Danio rerio: one gene and its partners. The protein of the gene in region 3 purifies or fractionates together with the protein of the main gene of each other region. This does not show direct contact. Links are inferred from orthologs where the notes say so. Each region holds a gene or a part of one and is shown on either strand. Other genes may lie near its edges.

Region 1 (6,555 bases), on a different chromosome or scaffold from region 3:
GGCAGAAAGCCACGATGAACCAAAATGAGGACTCCAGTGGGAACAAGGAAGCGCATCAGTGCAGTTCAGACGTTCTTCATGATCATTACGGGTGTTCAGCTGCAACCAAGTCAGAAGAGAGTTGGTCTGGTGGAGAGGAACAGGATACTGATTGGTCTCAGTGGCCTTGTGGTATGCTTCACTGCACCGAGTGTGTCGTATGTCTTGAGAACTTTGAAACGGATTGCCTTGTCATGGGTCTACCATGTGGCCATGTTTTCCACCAGCAGTGCATCGTGGTCTGGCTGGCTGGAGGGCGGCACTGTTGCCCAGTGTGCCGGTGGCCATCATACAAGAAGAGACCCGTACGACAACGTGCAACTGAACAACTCGATCCAGAATAGCCCATGCGTGATTCATTTACGTCTTGCTTCCTGCACTTATTTAAAAAAAGGAAAAACATGACTTGATGTGTCCATCTTTAGTCTATAGATTCATAACATGGGTTCCTGGGGTTTTTGTTGGTGGTTTTAACTTGCACAGTCATTAATTAAATTCATACTTCCCAATATTTTTCAATAAAATTAAAAGAAAATGCTAATTTATGCAAATTATAACATACTTAATGGTAGATTCAACACACATAGTTGAAAAGCTTCTGTTTTAGCGCCCACACATCATACATCCCAATAAAACAAAAGAAAAATCCATATGTTCCTGTACCTGAGAATCACAGTTTGTGTTCAGTGTGTTTCCAAATGTGAGTAATCTGTCTAAAATTAATCGGGGAGAATAAGATTCTAGGAGATGTGAGCCTTTATATAAGGTTTACTCTCTGGGCATGTAAATATGATTAAATTTTTTTTTGTAAGGAATTACAGCTTTACATTACTTGAGTAAAACGGCCCTGTGCAATTGAAAATGGCTTAGGCACTGAAATGCAATTAAAGGCTCCATCTTCAAATAAAGTTGTCTTGTGGGAGCATGTTTTGTTATTTTTAACAGCATTTTGCCATTAACACTAATAAAGACTTTACACTTTGACGTTTGCTGTTTGTCAGGGTGTAAAAGTAATTTGGGAACCTTTACCTGTAATGACATTAAAATTCAATAAAGTCCTGCTTTCTCACCAGTGGTATAGTATCTATGAATTTACTTTTTGAAATAAGTTAAATTCTACCATTTTAGAGCATGTTACACCAATAATCTATAGGGGGCAAATATGTCTATATCAAATGTTTCTCAACCACTTTCCTGGAGGCCCACCAGCACTGCATGTTTTAGATCTTTCCTTTGTCTGTCAGACCAGTTACCGGTCTTTCAGTCTATTCCAATGAGCAGGGCCCGGTTTTTTAAAAGTAATCCACTAGGATTTTGGATAAGGGATTGGAACAAATCTTGAAAATGGGTTTTTCAAAAGAAAAAAATGGATTACTAAATCAGATTAGATTATGTAATCCAATCTTGATTTTGATCCGGATCAAACCTTGAGTTTGGGTTTTTCAGACCTTTTTTGTAGGATTTGGATCACTTCGATCCAAAAAAATCTGGATTAAACTCAGAAGGGTGGATTCAGCATGGATTTTATGCCCAAAATGTAATGAAAACTTTAAAAAAGTATCAAATAATTACTATATTTGGATCATGCAGTATCTTACAAGATATCCTATTTATTCATAAGGTTTTAATTGTATTTGTTCATTCATTAGGCTACAGTGATTAGGTAGGCTTTATCGTATTCAGCCTTTCAGTATAGGCCTACAGCAAAGTAGAAAGAGTTTGGCCTCATAAAATAATCCCCCAAACAGCTATCTAAATTGACTAAAAACAAGAAATTTGATTCTGTCACTAATTTATAAATATATTAATCACAATGGTAAAATATTTTTCTTTTCAGAATATTTATTAGGGATGTATGCAATGATTACAGAATAAACAAAACAAAAAAAAATGCAAAGAATGAGAATCTCAATTTTTTTAAATCACTTTTAACTATTGCAAAAAGAGACTGAAAGGGCAGAAGCACAACTTCATCTGGCAGAGGAACAACTGACTCTGACTGACCAAATTGCAGCAAACCAAGGCCATACTTGAGATTCGCCTTCTAGCTGGTCTCTCCTCATCAGACGAGGAAGACTGAAATTATTGTGAAGGTTAGACATTAAGTCTTTTTTTTTTTTATTCAATACATCTATATTTGAAACTTGTTATAAATATCCTCAGTGTACAGTGTTTGTGTTGTAGGTCTCAGATGAGCGTACTGCTGGAAGAGGATAGGGTGGGGTTTTTCTCGTTTTAAATTTTTATTTATTTATTTTTTTTAAATGTGTGTGTTTTAATTTCAAATAAAAATAAAGTTATATTGACCCCACACTGGCCATTCTACTTGTTGCACTTTAAATATCTATAGTTCTACATTGTGATTTCCCATCCTGTTTGAGCACTGGTTATCCACATTTAGTGATCCTGAAAATTTCCCATCCGGATCAGATTGATCCAATCCGATGTTGCTTTGAAAAACTCAAATAGTAAACTGGATTACGTGATCACGGATCGCAAAAACAGGATTACTAAATCCAGATCTATTTTATTAAACCTTTTGAAAAAACGGGCCCTTATGATCTGTGTGTTTGGTTAAGGGAGACATGGAAAATGTGGAGAGACTGTGGTCCTCCAGGAACGTGGTTGAGAAACACTGGTCTATATTACATAAATCACACATAACCTACACAGACATAGATTTTAGGTATATATATAGCCTTATATCTCCTACAATAACTGATCATGGTAGCATCCACAATATAGTACTGTATATAATAAAAAATAAAGTTACTAAAGTTATGGGAACATTTCACTGATCTATCTTGTATAGACAACAATTAATATTGAAAAAAAATTACTTATTGTTAAATTTACAAAATACATTAGCTAATTTTTACTAATGGGACCTTGTTGTGAAGTGTTACTAAAGATTATTGAGAAAATGCCATATGCCAGTAATTGTCATTTGCAAGGGCTACTTACCTATATTTCAGCGATCTCAACGAAAGCTCCAAGCTATCTATAATAACAATAACCATGTATTTACTAAAAGTATGAGCATATTTTCAAATAAGAAGCAAATAAATCTAATTATTTTCCGTCTTTACTGTGAACTCGTGACGTATTAAGCACGTTGGGTGTGCCTACCGCGCATGCGTTGCTCTGTCACTACGTTCACCGCCAGTGCTGGAGCTAATCTACAGTGTGCTGGGACGAAATTGCTGTTAAGGTTGTTCACTTTTATGATGTGTTGCTGAAACCAGTGGCATATTCCTGATCTTCAATCCAACACTCAGTATCCGAAGTGGCAAGCATGCTGCGCGTCTGTTGGAAAGGGGCACATGCAGCAGCGCGGGTAAGTTTCTTCTGCTTGAGCGGTCATTCAGTGACCCACAGCGAGGCCCTGCGTTTTAAAGCGTACAATTAAACTGCGGATTATCATAAACCCTACATTATTTATTTTATTAACCTATATTTATTAAACTTCATAACGAGTTTATGGTTTTATTTGTTGCGACTTGTTATTTGCGGTTTAGATGGAACACAGTGCTAGAAGTGCTGCTGTACGTCAACGACGTAACGTTGAGAAGAAAGAGGCGTTTACAGTTTGATAGGCAAATTCTTTCAGCCAATGAAATGTCACTATTAAGTGAGTGACTGCTTTCTCCACCAATAAACTACCTCATGTGTACGTCTGCGTAAATGTGGGCGGGATGTGTATGATTCATTTTTTCTGTCACCCGGATAACCAAGCTAGTCAACAGCTGTCTGAAAATCTTAGTTTTACATGAGTTCATGTCTGTTTTACATACAATTGTGTTTTACCAGAACCATTTTCATGCCAAGCGTATTATGATAGAGCTGTAACGCTGTTCTGTAAACACCGTGAAACACACGTTTTGTCCAATAGAAGGACGTGACCTTGCCAGGGAAAGTTCAGAAAGTTTCCAAGACAAACGCTGCCAACATGTCTATTGCGTTTCTATATGTTAATTAGTCAAATTAACAATTGTTAATATGTATAACAGCTGTTAAAATAACCAACATCTAAATGTATACGCATTAAAGATTCATTTTAAGCATTAAAGATTCAAAAGTTCATTCATTCAAAGTTCATGTTTTGAGAAACCACCAACACACACAAATTCCAAATAGAAGTGTTATTATTTAGAGCATACAAAAACAAACAAACATTAAATTAGCTCAAAATAAAATATCCGATCTTTACAGATATACAAACTGCACAAAAAGATTACCAATTTGAAACCCGCTGAATAGCATTCGCATTGGAAAGATGTGGCTCTTTGTATTTAATTAACGTTTATGTAAGACAATGCTTGTATTTAGTGTAAACAATGCTATTTTTTATGTACTTAATATTTTAATTCGTCATTTATTTTGTTGTAGAGCATGTGAGATGATTTGTTTGTTTGTTTCTCTGCAGCAATGTGTGTGTGGTAAAGTGAAGGCCCATCCATTACAGCACTGCCGCAGATACACCACAGCAGGAAACTCTGGGTATAAAATCAAACAATTAATTTCCACTTAAACAAAAGTTTACTGTGATTTGTTTATACGCAGATTTGTTTATTTTTCTTGTAGTTAATTGGACAATTATTAAATGAGTGACTTCTCAATCATACATTTACACTTATCCATTTGGCAGAAACATTTATCTAAAGCATATTACATTTCATTTATGCTGCATATGTAGACATTTTTTCTATAATGTCATAGTTGTCAGTCCCTATTTTGTATCACTTGAGCTAAAGAAATGTTTTTATTTATTTATTTATTTATTTATTTATTTGCTTATTGTTCTGCAGATCCTCCGCTGGGAAAATAGTGGCTGCTAGTCTTTTAACAGTGGGTGGTGGTCTTGGTGGGACTATCCTTTATGCCAAATGGGACCCAAAATTTCGGTCATCTGTAGAGAAGAGTGTTCCCTATTCGGATCAACTATTTGACATGGTGCTAGGGGCACCCCCTTCTCCACCCGTACCTATACAAAAGAAACCGGTAAGTGAAAGGGTTACGAACAACCAAAACACATTTTTTGAGCTGTTGACAGTCATATATGTGTCCCATGCTGCTAAAACCACTATTTGGACATATATTACACAAAGAAGTGAAAATAGGGTGTTTGTGCGTTACTTCAAGCAAATTCATTGTTCCAGTTTGAAACAAATTTATGAAGCTGCGTCACGCCGATTAGATCCTTGCATGTATTTCAGCATAGAGACTGGCTTTCTATACCTGGGAGTACTTTGTGACCTCTCTGAGTGTGCTGCATTCATTCATGACAAAGACTTGGTTCAAACCAAACAGTGCGCTCTATTGTGTATGCGGTGCAACTTCATTAATATGCATGATAGCTTCGAAAAAGAAAGAAGAAGAAAACAAGTGGGAGAAGAAGAATTGTTACCCATATGAGAGATACGGGTCATCTGTGTTGCGTTTTTAAATGTCCTGCAACGAAGGTTTTGTTTTCATTTTCCCGCTATGAGAGCGCAGCTGGACTCGCATGTAGATTACACTGCACGCAACACGCGGCAGAAATACGTTTGTATGGAACATTTTTTACTCGAGAGCTTGGCTTTCCGCATTTGCTGCTTGTCTCCTTTTAAAAAAGACGCAGCTCCAGTTGGTGTTGATTCATCTGTCTTTTTATTTTTTATTTTTTTATTCAAATGGCAAAGTTAATTCGTATCGTCAGCAGTACTCTTTCAGTGTTTAAAGACAGACCTTAGTCAAAATCATTTCGAAGCTTACAGTACATTAATATCACTACAATATTATGGACTGAAAGATCTGCTGTAAATGCTGTTCTCTGTAAACATGTAAACATTAAAGACCGTCATGTTAATTTCGATGCATTTTGTGACAGGATAGTCTACACACAAACGGCTTTCTGACGACGTGCGGTATCAAACATTCAACAGTCATTAAACAAAGTCTCTGTCTTTCTCCTCTGCATCTGTGTGTTTCTTTTGCCTCAGTGAAAATCAGCGTGTGCGTAAATGAAAAATCCCATTTTTATTCAAATCCTTCCATCTTTCCCTGCCCCGTCACTCCCACCTATACCGCGCTAGACACACCCACTTTCCTGACTTTTTCCAAACTAGAGATGTGAAAACACGCTGTTGAAACGGGGGTTTCATGGCCCTTTAAAATCACTTTAATTCTTAAAGAAGACACAAATAATATGCATTCTGTAATTAGATTTAGCTATGCAACTATGTGAGCATATTATTATTATTATATAACTGATTTTAATGACAGAATCAATGATGTTGGCTAATTTCGTATTTTTATTGAATTAGGAGACTGTCAAACCACTGCAAATCTCTTCATTGTCAGAAGCAACTAAAGACTCCAAACAGCCTAAAGCTAAAGCCAAGAAGTCTGATCCAGCACCTCCACCTTCTGTAGAGGAAGCTCCAGCACCAGCGCCAGCACTTCAGTCACTGGAGGGTAAGTGGGACTTGTACCTTTCTCAAGGCTAATTTATACTTTTGCCCAGTGCCACGTCGC
Region 2 (6,248 bases), on a different chromosome or scaffold from region 3:
TGTTTCCCAGTGTCAGGTTGCAGCTTTAAGGGTATACGCTGCATAAACAAAGCTTTGTTTGCCAAACAAAGTTGGCGGCTCATTCCACTGTGGCAACCCCTGCTTAATAAAGGGACTAAGCCAAAAAGTAAATGAATGAATGAATGAATGAATGTTAATTGCAAGTACAGAAGTCAACATTTAAAGTGGATAAAAAAAGATTATCCTAAAAAATTGTTCTAAGACAAGAACAGGTGTTTTTTAATAGTTTAAGAACTTTAAACTAATTAAAAGTTGATTCAAATAAAATTTCAACTACAGTAGGTTTTTTTTTTTTTGCAAAACCTTTTTGTTCCTGGGATTGTGACCTCACAAACGCTACATTTGCATAAACCACGCCCCCCGGTGAGACATTTAATACATTGTGCCCTAGGTGGATAGCTAAGCAGAACACCCTGAGCCAACTAACCAATTACATTTTTCTGAGGAAGGGGCTTCATAAAACCAAAAATTTTTATTAATTTACACCCCATAAGCATAAGGATGTCTTGAAAAATAGCTGATTAACCACCCATTTAACAGCAAATAGACCTTACCAAGAGTGCGGAGTAGACGACTTGAGGATTGGGATGGTCGAGAAAAAGGATGAGGCCGGAGAAGCAGCCCTGATCTTCAACTATAACTCTCCTGTTGAGGGGGTCGGCAGCTAAGTCCCTCAGCTGATTCACCACAGCCAAGGCATCAGGCTCCCCGCTCATGCTGCTCCCACTCCAAGGGCCATGCACAGAAAACACACCGCTCCAAGCTGAGGTAAATAAAAAATATTAATATTATAAAACAGCTTGATTTATTTCTGTAAACAAGAAGAGTTTTCATTCATGACAGAACACACATTAAAATCTGTCTTTAAAAATACAAGTTAGTATAAACTGGTTTGCCTGAAGCATTCATATGATGTGGTTTTTTCGATGAAGATAATAATAATAATGATGATAAACATATTTTTAATGAAAGCCTTAAAATCAAATGTCTGATAATGGTGACATTAGAAATAATAGCAATAAACTGGATTGCTTTAAAATTAGGATTATATATAAATATATTGGAAAAAGATAATAAAGTACAAATATATACTCTTTCATTGTTGTCATATGTACACTATAGGGTGGGGCGATTAATTGAAAAGTAATCAAAAATCGACCTTCAGAACCTATAATCAATCTAATTTTTCCTGGTCAATATTTTCAATTACTTTTCATAGTAATTTTTAGATTGTTCTTTTTAGGCAGTGTGTGTTTTAATTTTAGCTGTTCAACACTTTTTTTTCAATAAATATTTATAGTTAGTAGATAAGCGTGTTTCCTTCAGTTGATAAGTAATGCACCCTTCATTTAAAATAGCATATTTACTGAACATTAATTGAACATGCCGATTTGGGCTGATTTGGAAATCACAAGCCCTAACACACTAGCAGTCAAGTTTTTCCATATCTTCAGTTTTTATGAAGCGTTCAGGCAATACATTTTGAAAACAGTTTTTGCAGCTTAAATCAATTTAAAAACATTGCAATATAAACAAAATCATATATGTATTCACAGGATTTATTTAACTCCAGTTCGCCTCCATAGAATATTTCCCAACTGTTCTCAGTTATGTTTCAAATGTAAGATAAACATTGGCACAGTGATGCATGTATTTTGGTATGTGACAAAATCAAAATGTACAGGAAAGAGATTCACAAAATTATTTTTTTTTAAATGCAAAAACGTTTGCTTAACTTATTGGGTTTTACAGTACTCGGTTGGTTTGAATTCTCTTCATTTATTGGGTTTTACTGTGCTCAAATTGCTTCATTTACCTAAATGGATTAAGTTCACAGTACTCATTATGATTAGTTTTTTAACTTAAATGGTTTGTTGCAATTGGTTCCCTCACTAAAAAAAATTACCTACGATTAACATCAGAGTTCTGAGGTGTTCTGCCGCATTTGTTTCTCCCTCTGGAATTTTCTTGAGGGCACACAGTGACTCTGTCTTTCTAAATTTGGTTTTATAATTTAATTTTATTTCTGGCTTTACTTTCAAGCATTTGTATGCATTTGAATGTCGAACATAAATTGCTGTGCTTGTTGTCATGAGATACCACTACCACTGTTGCGATGTTGAAAATAATTCTTAAAATAAATAAATAAATAAGCGCTAACTTTTTTCAGGATTCTGTGATGATAGAAAGTTGAATAACAGCCTTCTAAAGAAATATAGTTTTTAGTAACATTATAAATTATTTACTGTCATTTTACCCAATTTAATGTCATTAAAATATGCAATTTTTAAAACAGTTTTTTTTAAGTGCAACTTGTCATTATTTTACCATTTAGGCAATTCATTACATTACACTAATAATTAAATACACATTGTCAACAAAATCTCTCACTGCTCGTCCAAAAACATTAACCAACACAAAACTGATATTAACTAAAGTGCTCATGACATTAAAATGAGTTCTGAAAGATCACGTGACATTGAAGTCTGGAGCAAAGATTATATTAAGCTTTATTATCATAAGTATAAATGACATGTCATTATATAAAAAATAAAATGACCATTACTGTATTTCACAAATTAACTTTTGCATATTTTTAAAAAAATGCATCATTACGTACAACAGAACTTTAACAACACTAAACATTTGACTTTATCGCCAATATTTTTGCTTGACGTCATTAATCAACACACATTTGTTTTCGTGCGTCCTTTTCTATCGATTGACCGCTGATCTTTAAACACGTGGCTTGTTATTGGCTTTGCCGGTGAACTGAGTGACCCATAATGGTCATGATGTCTGATTCCCCCAGTACAACACAGCTAGCGAGGCCTTTAAACGGGCCTGTGCTGCTAACCGGCTAACATTAACACGGCATCATCAAGACAATGACAATCCGAGCTTCCATACGAGACACAATTAAGACTATAAAAACAAACATTTGGCGTTCGTTCCCCATTCATATTTAGACCACAAAACATCAATACACGTGAATATTATTGTATTTCTATGAACAATAACAATGCTATAAGACAGAAAGAGAATGTATTATCTGTTTCCATCAGAACACACGTAAATATGTGCTATCGTCTGCTAGTAAATGTTTAGTCGGTGTGTTTAGGTTTGAAGTGATTGTCTCTATCTAGTTAACCTTGTGTGTGTTGTGACAGTGAGTGTTGTCCACGCATAACCTTACAGCAAACACGCCCAGGACGCTCCTCGCTTCGGATGATTCCTGTCCAGTTGCTGGATCCAAAACCACCGACAAATCAACTGCTGACGGAAACCAGACTGGATATGAGGACGACAGTAAACGAAGTTAAAATTCTGTGTGACCAGCTGTTCTGGTCCGGTTTATTTTGCCATTATCTGCGGAGCTTTTTTAGCAGACCGTGTAACACTTCCTGAATTTAGACCAGCTTATTGGAGGAGGTGAGGTATGACGTCGTGCGGTTTTACCTAATCAGAAGGGGTTTTACTAAAGGATACATTATTTTTCATTATAAAGCTAAAAAAAAGAATAGCATGGGTATATATATATATATATATATATATATATATATATATATATATATATATATATATATATATATATATATATATATATATATAATAAAAAGTATAATACATTTGTATTATTTAATATGACAAATTAACGATACACAATATGTGAAAAATACAGTACTACACAATGCTACAATGCGTAAAACTATTGTACTGTTAGATGCATATAGATGAATGAATATAGAAGAATATCATTTTAGTACTATTTTAATTAAATAAATATGTGTATTTGCAGTAGATTCAATACATTAAAAATAAGTATATATGCTTGTCATTTCATTCATTTCTTCATTTATTTTCTTTTAGACTTATTTACATATTAAGTCGTAGTATTAGTCGTAATATTAGTTGTATAATATTTTATTAGTCGTATTAGTATTAGTTAGTAATATTAGTTCATATTCTTCTCGACAATAGATACAATGCATTAAAATAATAAATATATATGCCTGTCATTTCATTAATTTCTTAATTCATTTTCTTTTCAGCTTAGTCTCTTTATTAATCTGGGGTCGCCACAGCAGAATGAACCACCAACTTCCAGCATATGTTTTTAGACGCCCATCCAGCCGCAACCCATCACTAGGAAACATCCACACCTACTCATTCACACACACTACGGACAATTTTAGCATACCCAATTCACCTGTACCACGTCTTTGAACTTGTGGGGGAAACCCACGCAAACACAGGGAGAACATGCAAACTCCACACAGAAATGCCAACTGACTCAGCCGAGACTCGAACCAGCTACCTTCTTGCTGTGAGGGGAACATGCTACCCACTGCACCACCGCGACAACTGCCTGTCATTTCATTTTGTCATTAAATTTAATGACATAACATTTTGTTTATTCATTCATTCATTCATTTTCTTGTTGGCTAGTCCCTTTATTAATCCGGGGTCGCCACAGCGAAATGAACCGCCAACTTATCCAGCACGTTTTTACGTAGCGGATGCCCTTCCAGCCACAACCCATCTCTGGGAAACATCCACACATACACATACACGCACATACACTACGGACAATTTAGCCTACCCAATTCACCTGTACCGCATGTCTTTGGACTGTGGGGGAAACCGAAGCACCCGGAGGAAACCCACGCGAACGTAGGGAGAACATGTAAACTCCACACAAAAACACCAACTGAGCCGAGGTTCAAACCAGTGACCCAGTGGCCTTCTTGCTGTGAGGCGACAGCACTACCTACTGCACTACTGCTTCGCCCAACATTTTGTTTAGTTATCTAATTCTGGTTAATCAAGTTTTAGCAAATTACAACTAATAGTTTTCTAAATAAATGCCTGCTTTTATTTGTATTATATAAAATAAATAAATGTTACAAATGAACAAATCTTTAACAAATCTTAAAGTTTCTTTTTATGGTTATTGTGCTCTCAGGTGTACTAGTTTATTTATTATAATTTATATAATATTACACTTATTTAATTTCAGATTTGGTGTGTGTGTGTGTGTGTGTGTGTGTGTGTGTGTGTGTGTGTGTGTGTGTGTGTGTGTGTGTGTGTGTGTATTTATCTGCATATAGTCTTATTTAATGCATTTTACGTGTCATTTCCATTTAATATTTTTTGTATTGTAGGAGTAACAAATCAAAAGCATCTGACAAGAAAGCAAGTGGGCGACGCAGTGGCACAGTAGGTAGTGCTGTCGCCTCACAGCAAGAAGCTTGCTGGTTCGAGTCTCGGCTGGGTCAGTTGACGTTTCTGTGTGGAGTTTGTATGTTCTCCCCGCGTTCTCGTGGGTTTCCTCCGGGTGCTCTGGTTTCCTTCACAGTCCAAAGACAGGTGCATTGGGTAGGCTAAATTGTCTGTACTGTATGAGTGTGAATGAGTGTCTAATGTTTCCCAGAGATGAATAAATGATACATATGCTGTGGCCACCACGGATTAATAAAGGGACTAAGCCATAAAGAAAATAAATGAATAAATGAATGAAGCAAACAAGTAAAAAAAAAAAAATACTATATATGTGTGTGTTTATTGGACATTAGTAAAACGCATTTGCTTTATATTATAAAACGAAGGCAATTTAAGTAGACAGAACAAAAAGGCAGGTGTTTTCTCTTTAAACTGAAGACAAACAATTATAAAAATTCCAGTTATTGAGCGAAACGACGCTGACATCTGAACAAACAGGCGAAAAACATTCTCCCAGATAAACCACTTATATTCACACAATTCATACACAACAACAAACGATACATCATCACATCAATAAAGTACATGTGTGATACTTTTTAAAACATAATATTTTATAAAGTTATTCAAAGACAAATCCACACATGAATGAATTCAGTCAGTTACATCTACGCATGCCTAGTATATGTGAGTCATACTATGCTCTGATTGGCCAGCTGAGTTGCCTATCCACCATACTTAACCAGTGATTTTCTCGATAATTCTAGGACCCACCCATTTATAGAAAACCCTCAGATTTCATTGGCCAATTCTAAAAATCCAGCCCTCTTTTCCAAGCGACTGCTCCCGAACTGTGGAAAAACACACGGAATACCGCTGGTCTGGATGGCATTAGCATAGCACAGCAAGGACTAATAGAAACTTGTGTTACGCTACAGTTTACACGGTAAGACATTGATTTGCCCTATTATATTATAACCAACCAAAAGGGCATTTATTGCAAC
Region 3 (6,304 bases):
AGACTTTTTAAACCCTAAACATTTGATTTAGAGATTTAACACACTTTAAGACCCTGTGGATACCCTGTACATCTATTCTGATTCATTGACTTGTGTTCTACAGGACAGGCTTCTTTGGCACTGTGGTTGAATATGGTGCTGAGCGCAAGATAAGTCGCCACAGTGTTCTAGCTGCAACCGTCAGCATCGGTGTCCCCCAAGGAGTTTCCCTCAAAATTAGGTTAGCACCGCAAAAAGCAGCACAGCTCAGCAGAACAACAAGCTGCTCATGGGTGGTCCATTTCTGATCGCCATTTTTCATTCTCTCTACAGGTTAAACAGAGCCAGTCAAACATACCTCTTCCCTATTCACCTGACCGACCAGATTTTACCCAGCGCTGTGTTTTATGCCACTGTGGGCCCGCTGGCCATCTACTTAGCTGTCCAGAAGCTTATTATCATGCCTTATGTACAAGCCCATAAGGAACAGTGAGTTATTATCCGTAATTACTGCCCTGAAACCGCCCATTTTCCTGAAACCCCTGTCTTTACCTTGGATTCTCTGATGAAGGGCGCTGACTGTGTGGTTGTTTACAGGGAGTTGGAGAAACAGAAGGAAGATTCTGCTTCAGAAATTGCTCGCAGGAAGCAAGAGGCTGAATCTGCTGTAAGTAAAATAAATGCATAGACAAAACAAATTCTCCCTCTTGCAAACACAAACAATCATTTATCAGGGCAGATGTGTAGGTTTTCGTGTTATTGTTTCTTTGGTTTTCAGGTTTTGTTGATGCAGGAGTCGGTGAAGAGAATCATTGATGCCGAGGAATCTAAAATGGGTTTGTTTTTTTAAACATTTAAATAGATGCAAGTAAAGCTCTGTGAACATGTGATATACAGGCAATTACCAATGATAATTATTGCATTCATTTAAAAAAAAAAAACGAACTAAATCAATCCTAAAGTTATATATCCTATGTGCACAGTGTATGCCACAGATGTCAAACTCAGCTGCGTCTAAAATCGATTACAACCAGAGCTCATACTTTCTTGGAAAACCTAGAAAAGTCAAAAATTTTGACATGGCATTTTTCTGGCCTAGAAATGTTTTGGAAAAGTCATGGGAATTACATTTAGGCTGTACTCACACTATGTACAGTTGCTTTGAACCGGGCCGAAGCATGCTTGTCGCCCCTCCTGTCTCCCCCGACGGCCCACACTCACATTACATTTGGGCCTGAGCACGCTTTCGTCATCGATGATGCGCTATTCAGTAAGAAGCTCTCTCGCTCAGCACAGTGGAGATTTCATTAGTTATATCGTTTTAGGGTGCTTTCACATCTGTAGTTTGCTTCATTTGGTCCAGACCAAGGGCAATAAATGATACATTGTTGCATTTTCTGCCGTCTTTGGGTCGTTTTCACAACACACTGCTGGCTTTGGTCCGAACCAGTTGAAACGAACCAAAATGCAGTCATCTGACAAAATCCACATCTCTCATTGGCCAGATGTTGTTAAACATATTTCCTAAACTGCCTTTTGATTGGTCAGAATTCACATGCGGGAAAATGCCAGTAAACTCCCGCAGGTAAACAAAACCTTTTACTCTGGAGGGATGACTGCGCTGGCTGATTGTATCCCTGCCTTAGACAAACTATACATTACGAAAATTAAGCGTGGCCGCGGCTGGAAAACAGTGTTTAATGCATCACTCGTCACTTCAGGAGGAGACATAAATTAATTTAGCTAAACTGCGACATGGTCATCTTGCGTAAATATTACCAACAATCCATCAGGTAATATTTTCCCCTTTATCTCTCTCTCTCTGTTGGTACAGCACGGACAACAAATATTTTTCCTCCATATCCCATAATGCACAGCGCATCGGCCTAGGGCAGCTGAATTAGTCCAAAACGCGCAGTACTTTTTGCGGTTGGACCTGTTTTAGTACGAATCATATTTTCACCACAAACGAACCGCTCCAGGGTTCGTTTGAAAGTGTACCAAGACCATCTCTTCAAGCAGGTCTCAGTACGCTTATTTGGTCCGCTTTTGGTGCGCACTCGAGTACGATTGCTGCATTCTCACCTGTCCAAACGAACTGCACCAAAAGGGGAAACGAACTCTAGTGCGATTCAATCGAACTAAATATGGCAGGTGTGAAAGCACCCTTAGTCCCTTGATATGCAGTGACACGCCAAACAGATCCGCCATTTTTGACGCTCATAAACAATCATAAAGTCCTCGTGCTGCAGGAATTAGGAGGTTTGCTGAAGGTGCAGTCATTTAGAGCTTGTGCTTAATTCTGTCGTACAGCGCTGCGAAAAGGGGCAGGGTTAAACAATTTGATTAGACGTTAATAAAAGTAGCAATTGCTCTATATTTTAAATGACTAAACTATACTATGGTCTAACGCAATCACGTGATGCGATTTCGCAGGTACAAATTCACCAAGCTTGAACTTTCGAATGCAGTGAAATGCGAAACTTGTCACACACGCTTGTGTTTCTGGTGAATGGATGTCTATGGAGCAAAGTGCAGTGTGATCGTGACTTTACTATAATAGTTTTCCCTACTATTAACAGTTTAACAAACTATTAACAGTGTCTAAATTTAGTTTCAAAAATATCTATATACTGGAATGGGGGTTAGTTGTTTTTACTACTTTCTTGGCCAAAAACATGGTCTCATATAATTATTGCTGTGTAAGCATCATCTATTTTACATAGATTTAAAAATATATTGAAACTAAAGAGATTGTTGTGTGTTTTGTGATATGCTGTAATAAATTAAATGGTTGATTGTTTTTCGTATGATTTACCATGTATACGTGGACCTTACATGAAACATTAAGTCATGAAAATTGACTTGAAAGTCCTGGGAAAGTCAAGGAATTGTTGTAGTAAAACATGCATGAACCCTGCATTACTCAGTAGGTACTACATTTGAATTAGAATTTACTACTCGATCGTTAAAAAAGTATGTTCTATATTGTATGAATGTGAGTTTTATGAATAGAACATACTATATGCGCCATTTTGCATAATCACGTGACCCACCCACATCAGTTCCGTTGCTTCACTCCCATTCATGAATTCAGGATGGTTGGGAATTCTCTCGCGATAAGAGTAACATGCATGGTACTTCTCGCATACTGTTTTTCGAATTCGATGAAATCGGACATACTACTTCACATACTGTTTTTTTTTTGCATACTATATAGTATGGAAATATGCAATTTCGGACGTAGCATTAGTTTCTGGAGGGCCACATCTCTGCACAGTTTAGCTTTAACTAAAATTAAACACACCTGACCAAACTAATTGTGTCCTTTAGGCTTGTTTTACACCTCCAGGTAAAGCCGCGGTCACACTTCACTTATCAGCCCATAGACTTCCATTCATACGCAGGGTTGGAACTAAACTGTGTAGGGCTGCGGCCCTCCAGGAACTGAGTTTGACACCCCTATGCCATAAAAAAAACTCCTGGACCTAGAAAAGGCATAGAATCTTTTTAAATAAAATATTTTTTTAAGTAATGCTCAATTCTGATCTTGTATTTGTTCAACTGGGAATAGTTTTGTGTATTCATTAAAAAAGGTATAATTGTTGGTTAGAAAAAGTGTGAATGGTGGTATTCTGAATAATACTAATGTTTGCTGAAAAGAATGAACTCAAATTGTTAATTTCTTGTCCATGTGTTTCTGATGTAGATATATAGCTGTAAATACAACAGCTTGTTTGGTTTTCCTCAGCCACCTGCTACACTTCCTGTTCATACATCTTGATTTACATTCCTGAATGGATGAATATCGCACTGTAAATATTGTTTTTGTGTTTAATCTAGGTCTCATCATTCTTAATGCGTGGTATGGTAAATTTGTGTCAGACAATAGTCAGAAACGTGAAAGAGCGAAGGTCATTGATGTGACGGTCCCGCTTCAGTGTTTAGTGAAAGATTCTAAACTCATGCTTACTGAGGCATCAAAGGTTAGACATGCAAAAAAATCTACCTGTTCTTTACATCAATGTAACTCGCTTAAATTCTTGTATTAATTAGTTTTGTTTTGTGTTAATCAGGCTGGCTTGCCAGGGTTTTATGATCCTTGCGTTGGAGAGGAAAAAAGTCTAAAGCTGCTGTACCAGTTCAGAGGTGCAATGCACCAAGTGTTGTCCGGAGACACAGATCCTCTTAGGATACCTAAACAATGTGAGTATACTGAAAAACAGGGAATTTTTTATTTTTAAAAGGTTGGTCTTATTTTGCTTTTTTAAGAGTATACCTATTGTAAAATATAATGCAAGTGTGGATTTTTCATAAGTGTCAAAGGTCAGAAAAAACATAAATAAATGTGCACATTATATGTATATATATATATATATATATATATATATATATATATATATATATATATATGTATATATATATATATATATATATATATATATAAATCAAAAATGTTTTAAATAACAAAATGGGAGGGTGGCGGGAGATGGTCTGAAATGCAGGATATGGGTTTGAAATATGGGAGAGTATCTGGGAAAAACCCAGTGTTGGCAGGTATGCTTAAACATACACTCTGCACTTGGACTACTTCAATATTTTTGATAAGTCGTGTTGGGCATTTCACTCTGTCTTGTGCTGAACGCAGTTGACCAATTGCAACAGACTGTCATTGGTTCAATCAGTGTAGATTAGCTTCGCGCTAAGGAGGGGTTTGGGAAAAAATGAATCGCTGAATGAATCATATCCGAATCGCTGGGAGAATTAGGTAAAAATAAATGCACATTGTAAGCACAATATGTACCTTGCATCCATATCAGCCTGTTGTTGGAGATTCATAAAACCAAAATATGACCCTTATAATGTATAATAGGAGCTCTTTAAAAAACTCATGCAAAATGACAAGTGACACTTAAGGGAACAACATGCAGAGGTAGACCAAAAACAACAAAAACTAAGAGCAGTCTACTGAGAGAAAAGGCACTGTCTGTATTTCATCAGCTGCCTAAATATTCATAGTGGCGTTAGACATTTCAACTCTTCGCAACGTTCAAACTCTTCGTTTTGTGTGGGTCAGGATTGAATTCTCTCCAGACTTTGAGGAGCCTTGATATAATGTACCTGCTTGTAATTTGCATGATAAGTGGAGATATTTTATTTCACTGATTTTTATTTGCATAACAGAAGCGCAACCAATTTACATAAAGGCAGTATATGATCTTTAGTGGTCTTCAAAACATCTACTTTGACTCTAAAACACTGTAGTTGTATCTGAAGCCTGTAAGAATTTGATTTGATTGTTGACAAGATGCTGTTTTATGCGCCATGAAAGCAAATCCACTTGCATTTTAACTAAAATGTGGCACTTTCATTCAAAGATGGTGTTTTTGTTCTGTCTCTTTTCATTCAGCTCATAGAATTGATTCAGAGACATAAGGATCTTCCACACATTGGAAGAAAGCACAGATGAACTCAATGGACATCAAAGGAACATAAAGGGACAGTCAGGCATCATGTGATCAGAAGGGCTGCTCCTCTTCATTTCCTGTAGTCACCCTTGTATCACCTTCGTGTTGTCTATGTCAAATCCCTTTACATACATTGGATGAATGGGTCAAACATGTCTCCTTAAAGCCCTGCTCACACTGTGCGATTTCAGCCAGATTTGGTCCTCTGAGACAAATTTGGGAAATCCTAAAAGATTCTAGAAATCCTCGGCTAAATTCTGTGGTCTTTGATTGATGGTTTAACATGTTCGCCAAAAGTCGCATAAAAGCATGTGCGATTAAATCTTCCCTCCAAAGAAGTTCTGGCAGATTCATAAAATAACAGACACTACTGCAAGTGTGAGTTTAACGTCAAACCAAGAACCAATAAGAATGCCATATTTGATAATGCAACTGGCACGACAACTTCACACCGTTTAAGTTTGTTTATGGATAGTAAAGTGTCGTCACACTCCCGGTGAGTTTTCTTGCATGTGTCTGTGTTTTTCAGCGTTTGACATTACGACAATTGAGATCATGTGGTGTGAAATGAGAATCAGTCTGACTTGCTACAATCATTTAGGAATTGCACAGTGTGAACCAGGCTTCAGATCTGGAGTTTTATATGTGAGGCTCCAGATGAACCACCTTAACCTGGTTGTGGCTTTGATAGCTGTTTGTTTTCAGGTGGTGGGAGGAGGTTAATTATTGTACGACTCCGTCCATCGATTTTAATCAGTGTTACATTATATTACACTATCTAATATCAGCAGGAATAAAGCTCCAGAAACTAAACTGTACTTTATAAGTGCGGTCCAAACCATAAGGAAGACCCGAAA

What was found. The genes of interacting proteins can lie anywhere in the genome.
Region 1: the proteins of dnajc11b (region 3) and immt purify together in Homo sapiens (co-immunoprecipitation; 3 studies listed by BioGRID and IntAct, with this or other methods). This does not show direct contact. The link is inferred for Danio rerio from reciprocal best matches to the Homo sapiens genes DNAJC11 and IMMT.
Region 2: the proteins of dnajc11b (region 3) and armc1 purify together in Homo sapiens (affinity purification with mass spectrometry; 4 studies listed by BioGRID and IntAct, counting the BioPlex papers as one, with this or other methods). This does not show direct contact. The link is inferred for Danio rerio from reciprocal best matches to the Homo sapiens genes DNAJC11 and ARMC1.

What each region holds. Positions count from the first base shown.
Region 1 is NC_133189.1:18,388,247-18,394,801, forward strand, and holds the start of immt (MICOS complex subunit MIC60), read left to right. Parts: upstream 1-3,173; 5' UTR 3,174-3,334; coding exon 3,335-3,376; intron 3,377-4,465; coding exon 4,466-4,539; intron 4,540-4,847; coding exon 4,848-5,040; intron 5,041-6,344; coding exon 6,345-6,495; intron 6,496-6,555. UniProt on the Homo sapiens protein: Component of the MICOS complex, a large protein complex of the mitochondrial inner membrane that plays crucial roles in the maintenance of crista junctions, inner membrane architecture, and formation of contact sites to the outer membrane.
Region 2 is NC_133199.1:28,685,546-28,691,793, forward strand, and holds the start of armc1 (armadillo repeat-containing protein 1), read right to left. Parts: upstream 3,383-6,248; 5' UTR 3,218-3,382; intron 785-3,217; 5' UTR 738-784; coding exon 576-737; intron 1-575.
Region 3 is NC_133186.1:41,983,015-41,989,318, reverse strand, and holds part of dnajc11b (dnaJ homolog subfamily C member 11), read left to right. Parts: intron 1-103; coding exon 104-220; intron 221-312; coding exon 313-468; intron 469-576; coding exon 577-646; intron 647-757; coding exon 758-815; intron 816-3,822; coding exon 3,823-3,965; intron 3,966-4,055; coding exon 4,056-4,185; intron 4,186-5,389; coding exon 5,390-5,415; 3' UTR 5,416-6,304.